2 linked regions of the Macaca mulatta genome follow. The protein of the gene in region 1 binds, or shares a complex with, the protein of each later gene. Links are inferred from orthologs where the notes say so. Each region holds a gene or a part of one and is shown on either strand. Other genes may lie near its edges.

Region 1 (3,500 bases):
CCTTGTAACGGAAAATCTCTCCCGTGAGCCCTTGCTGGGTTCCCACGATAGACGACCTCGTTTCACATCAAGTGTGCACGGCCTCAGCCCCGGCCCTGGCCCTGGGTAACACAAATTCTCACACTCATTCTCAGCCCTCATGGGGCGAGGGCTTCGGACTCCTGGCACTCGGCTCCCAGTGGCTCGGGAGGCCTGTTCAGGTGGAGGCCCGGGCCTGTGGTGCCCGACTACCATTTGGTACAGCCCAGAGGTTTGTGCCACCACCTGCCCTGACGCCAGGCAGAAGCTGGCCTTGTGGCCTCCACAGATTGGCCCTTTCTTTTGTGATAAAGTTGTTGATTCTTGACAGGGGGGCCCCCTGACCAGCCATGACAGGGAATGTTCCAGGAGCACAGCCATGCCCGGAGCACAGGTGCCAGCCGGGCTGTGTGGGGAGCCACAGCTCTGCTGCACCTTCCCGGGGGTGGGGACAGCAACCCTCATCTGCACCCACCTCGGCCCTCTTTGCTCTCTGAGACCCCAAATCCTCCCGGTGTCTGATCTCCCACCTACTGTTCAGACACCTTCCCGGCCTCCTCTGCTAAGACTCCCCACAAACATCTCTTTACTCCATGCCCCTCCTGCCCTGGGTTGGCCTCCATGAGGTCCCACAGTCAGTGCACAGGCACAGCGGGGACACCTGGGGCCACGTCGGTTCCTAGCACTACCCAGAGACGGAGACCAGGCGCTTTGCACAGAGCCACGCGAACACAGAACAGGGCAGAGGCAGCAGCACCGCTGAAAACATAAGACACTCCCTGCCCCTAAAACCCAGGTGTAGCCCCCAGTCAGAGGCGAGCAGAGCGCGGCGGGTCCCTGGAGGCTGGGCCTGCGCCCCCTTGGTGGCGGCTCACCTGTAGGCCTGCAGGAGGAGGATCTTGTAGACGTTGGTGCACACTGTCTGGAGGCTGTTCACCTAGAATCGCCAGGAAAGAGAGAAACGGCAGAAACCTCTCTGGGATTTTAAGTTTTTACTTTTTACTTTATCATCCATTCAGATGGCACAAGAAAGAGGAACATTTTGACAAGAAACCATCCCTCTCCCCAGTGAAATCCGGCCTGACCCTCACCCGGCAGCTGTCAACCACCCTGGGGGAGTCAGGACTCCCTGTCGTCTGCCTGCCTCCGAGGCTTGGCCAAAAAGGGAAGGCACCAGGAGAGGGAGTGAACGCAGATGCCCACAGGAGAGGGGAGTGGACACAGATGCCCACAGGAGAGAGGAGTGGACACAGATGCCCACAGGAGAGGGGAGTGAAAGCAGATGCCCACAGGAGAGGGGAGTGGACACAGATGCCCACAGGAGAGGGGAGTGGACACAGATGCCCACAGGAGAGGGGAGTGGACGCCCACAGGAGAGGGGAAGTGGATGTGGACCCTCACAGGAGAGGGGGAGTGAAGGCATGGCAGTGTGCACACAGGTGTGCAAGGGCACAAGTATGAATGTGCACACGCAAATGTATACCTGACATGCATGTGTTCGTGTGCAGTCATGCGGCATTCACGTGAGGTGCATGCATGTAGGTGTGCAGTGTGAGTAGCATGTGTGCACATAATCTGTATCGAGGGCCCCTCATGTTCACCCTGATAGGTCCTCAGCACCAGCACCCCGCCTTACAGGGTGAGACAGGGTCCCAGGCCCCAGTGGGCTGTGGCTCTGAAGTTGCAGTCCTGAGAGCATTGTCCCGTCTGGACATCTGCGTCCACTCCCTCTCCTGTGGGTGTTCACTCCCCTCTCCTGTGGGCGTCCACTCCCCCTCTCCTGTGGGCATTTGCATCCACTCCCCTCTCCTGTGGGCGTCCACTCCCCCTCTCCTGTGGGCGTCCGTGTCCACTCCCCCTCTCCTGTGGGCGTCCACGTCCACTCCCCCTCTCCTGTGGGCGTCCGTGTCCACTCCCCTCTCCTGTGGGCGTCCGTGTCCACTCCCCTCTCCTGTGGGCGTCCGTGTCCACTCCCCTCTCCTGTGGGCGTCCATGTCCACTCCCCTCTCCTGTGGGCGTCCACTCCCCCTCTCCTGTGGGGATCCACCCCATCTCACCCTGTAAGGAGGGGCGCTGGTGCTGAGAACCTAGCAGGGTGAACATGAGGGGGCCCTTGATACAGGTTATGTGCACACATGCTACTCACACCACACACCCACACGCATGCACCTCACATGAATCCCACACGAATGCACATGAACACACATGCACGTCAGGTATGCATTTGCATGTGCACATTCATACTTGTGCCCTTGCACACCTGTGCACACACTGCCATGCCTTCATGTACACACACACGTATGGCTCGCGTGCATCTGCGCACATGTGCACTCTTATGTGCAGCCAGTCACCGTCAGCCTTGCAGGCACGCACACACACACGTACACATGCGTGCACACAGTAACACACATGCCTCTCGAACTCTGAACTCTGTGCTGACCGTCAGCCTGCTCACCTGCAAATCCAGAAACAGGCTGTGACACTTCAGCCGCAAGACCCCAAAGAGTTTGCGACGCATGTTCCTCCCGGCCTTGAAGCCGCGGTTGAAGGTGAGACTGGCTCTGATGGAGGTCCGGGCGTAGCTGAGACACAGGGGGGACGTCAGACACGGGTGCCTGCCCCACACCCAGCCCCCTCCTGCAAAGCTTGCTCCAAAGAGCCTCCTGCCTTCCTCCTGCTTCCTTGTCCTGCCTGGGGCACGCGCTGTAGCCTGAGGGAGTTGGGTGCTCTCTCCGTGGACTCAAAACGCTACACGCCATCCGGACCCTGCATGGCCAGACTCCACCAGGACGTGGCTAGTGATGTTGAGTGTATCCAAGCCTTGCACGGCCGTGTGTGTGCACTCATCATCTGCCCTGATGAGATCTGCACATAACTCGGCCAAAAATACATAATAAACTATGGAGCCCTGACTCCCAGGCGTCCCTCGAGCGGACACGGGTGTGACTCAGCTTCTCTGTGGGAGAACACTGAGTCGGGCATGGGGAATCTCACTGTGTTTGAATCTCATGGATGGAAGAGCCAGGTGGCGCCAGCTAAAGAGGGCTCCAGTGAGTGCACGTGGCACACACAGGGTATCTCCAGAGGGGCAGGATGGAGGCATCCCACCGACGTCCTCCAGGGCCCTGCCACCACTCACTGCCCGTGTACATCCGTGTCCAAAGACGAACACACGTGACATCCACAGCGGGCTCCCTGGGCTGCGTTCTTTTACATCCAGCTTTGAACACTGCTACATTGAAATAAACGTTTTGTGCCATTAAACATTCTTCAAAAATTCTTTGAAAACATGTCTAACGGCAGAGTAAGTTTTGTGATACATAGTATCTGCTTAGCCCTGGATTTGGGCGGGTTGGCGACTTGCTGTGGCAATCCCCCCTCCCCCATACCTGGAGCACTGGAAATGGGAAATAAGACCCGTGATAATGTCTGGTCACTTCAGAAGTGGAATTACTGGGAAAACACAGGACATTGTAAGGACT
Region 2 (2,256 bases), on another chromosome or scaffold:
CTTGCAGTCGTGAAAGAAACAGCTTCTCTGGGCCTTTCCATCCCCAAGCCCCATGCTGCTGCTGTGCTGCTCCTCTCTGCCTGCCTCAAGGCTTCTTGGATTTGGGGGATGAGACTGTCTTCAAATCCTCAGTAAACTAAAGCCCTGTCCGGGTTTGTAGTCACAAAACGTCCTGTTGGATTCAGTTGGGATCTTTCTCGGTGCCTCACTACCTTTTGACTCACTGAACCTTTCTTGTCCGTTATTGCCCAATATCTAACACTTAACCAATTGCTTTCATCTCAGCGGAAGCGAGAGAGTGAGAGTGAAAGTGACGAGACCCCTCCAGCAGCTCCTCAGTTGATCAAGAAGGAAAAGAAGAAGAGTAAGAAGGACAAGAAGGCCAAGGCTGGTCTGGAGAGCGGGGCCGAGCCTGGAGATGGGGTGTGTGGAGATATGTTCAGGTTCCTTGGGCTGGCTTAGTCCCTCCATGGGGAAAGAATTACCCAGGTGGTACCAGCTTTGTTACTCTTCTTGGAGGAGCTGTGGCCTGGGGGTGGCATGCGACTGAGTGCCTTTAGTGCTTCCCCATGTTCCTGGACTGCTTTTGCCCTCCCTGTGGAATGGACAGATAGAGGTACTCGGCATCTACCACTTACACTTACAGCTCTATTGATGGTGGGGTGGAGAGGATGTGTAGGATGGTGATCTGAATGTTTCTACTTCCAAAAGTAGACCACTAGGGTGTCACTGAAAGGTTCGCAGAACTTTGTGTCACATGTAGTATTTAACCCAAAATATCCTTACAGGTCCTGAAAAAAGGCTTGCTTGACTGTGGACCTTTACCAGATTTCCTTCTGGGAGAGTGATAGCTTTGTTAGTGGATCCCATGGTATCTATAAGCTTTCATTCTCTTTCTTTCTAGGACAGTGATACCACCAAGAAGAAGAAGAAGAAGAAGAAAGCAAAAGAGGTAGAATTGGTTTCTGAGTAGTGAAGGCCACTTGAAGCATTGTGTCCAGCTGGAGGAGAAACTAAAGCCTTATTAAGAAAACATGTTATAGATCCTTTTGTTGCTGAGAGAGTGGAACATAGGTCCTAGACAGGGTGAAGAGTTCCGGCACATTTTAGCTGCTACTTTGAGACCTCGGTGATGTTACCTGGTGTGGTCATCCCATCTTGTCCTGTTTTAAGGATATGGGTGATGAAAGAGGCAGAGTTTATCCCAATGACTTCTCGGTTTGAGCCTCACCTTCAGACCCAGTAACTGTCCGCAGCTGTCTGCTAGTGGTTGTCTTAACATCATAGTCCTAGTTTGCATTTTTTTATCCCCTCTGTTTATAAGGTTTGTAAAACAAAACAAAACAAAAAACTAAGTCTGCTCAGTGAAATGGTGTAGAACCGTAAATAAGTGATAGAAGAGTGTCACTGAATTTTGTCTCTGAATTCAGTATAACTGAGTTTTGTCCATGCTGGTGTCTGATGGGCCTGGTAGTTTTCCATCTTGTTCTGGCCTAGAGGTCAGTCCTTTGCACTTCCTCAAAGCTTCTGTACAGTGTTCACCTAAATCCATCTGACTACTTGTTCCTGTGCCGTCTTGTTTTAGGCCTCGTTTACTTTTAAAGAATGAAATTGTTCATTGCTGGGAGAAGAATGTTGTAATTTTTACTTATTAAAGTCAATTTGTTAAGTTTTTAATGTATTCCTGTTGGGTTTTCTTGTTGGTGATCTCATGCTAGCAGAGCAAAAATTGTAAAATATTTTGATTAAAAATCTAGGGACCTTTATGTTCTATTTGAAGTGTGATGCTTTTATGTTTTCTGGTTTTTACATTTTCGTTCTGTATCTTACACAGTTCACCTTGGGCCCTGTCATCTGATGTGAGTACTCAGAGGCAGTGATTACCACAAAACCAGTGATCTGTAGAAGAACAGAGGAGAGGGTTGATGTATTTATACATAGTGGGCCTGGCAGGAGGGAGGCAGGGTGAGTCGGGAGAAGGAAGCTGAAAGTTAGGGACATTCAGGAATCTGAAGGCCTTGGTGACAGATTAGTGGAAGAAAGGTCTAGGGTTGCTTCCAATTTGGTATTAAGAGCCAAGAAAGAGGCCGGGTGTGGTGGCTTACACCTGTAATCCCATCAACTTTGGGAGGCTGAGGCGGGCAGATCACCTGAGGTCAGGAGTTTGAGACCAGCCTGGTTAACATGGCAAAACCCATCTCTACTAAAAATACAAAAATTAGCCAGGTGTGCTGGTGTGCACCTGTAATCCCAGCT

Evidence for each region.
Region 2: TERT (region 1) and DKC1 share a complex: the UniProt entries of both Homo sapiens proteins name them as parts of the telomerase holoenzyme complex. The link is inferred for Macaca mulatta from reciprocal best matches to the Homo sapiens genes TERT and DKC1.

What each region holds. Positions count from the first base shown.
Region 1 is NC_133411.1:2,381,513-2,385,012, forward strand, and holds part of TERT (telomerase reverse transcriptase), read right to left. Parts: intron 2,601-3,500; coding exon 2,474-2,600; intron 956-2,473; coding exon 894-955; intron 1-893. UniProt on the Homo sapiens protein: Telomerase is a ribonucleoprotein enzyme essential for the replication of chromosome termini in most eukaryotes. Active in progenitor and cancer cells. Inactive, or very low activity, in normal somatic cells.
Region 2 is NC_133426.1:161,068,573-161,070,828, forward strand, and holds the end of DKC1 (H/ACA ribonucleoprotein complex subunit DKC1), read left to right. Parts: intron 1-285; coding exon 286-423; intron 424-904; coding exon 905-973; 3' UTR 974-1,756; downstream 1,757-2,256.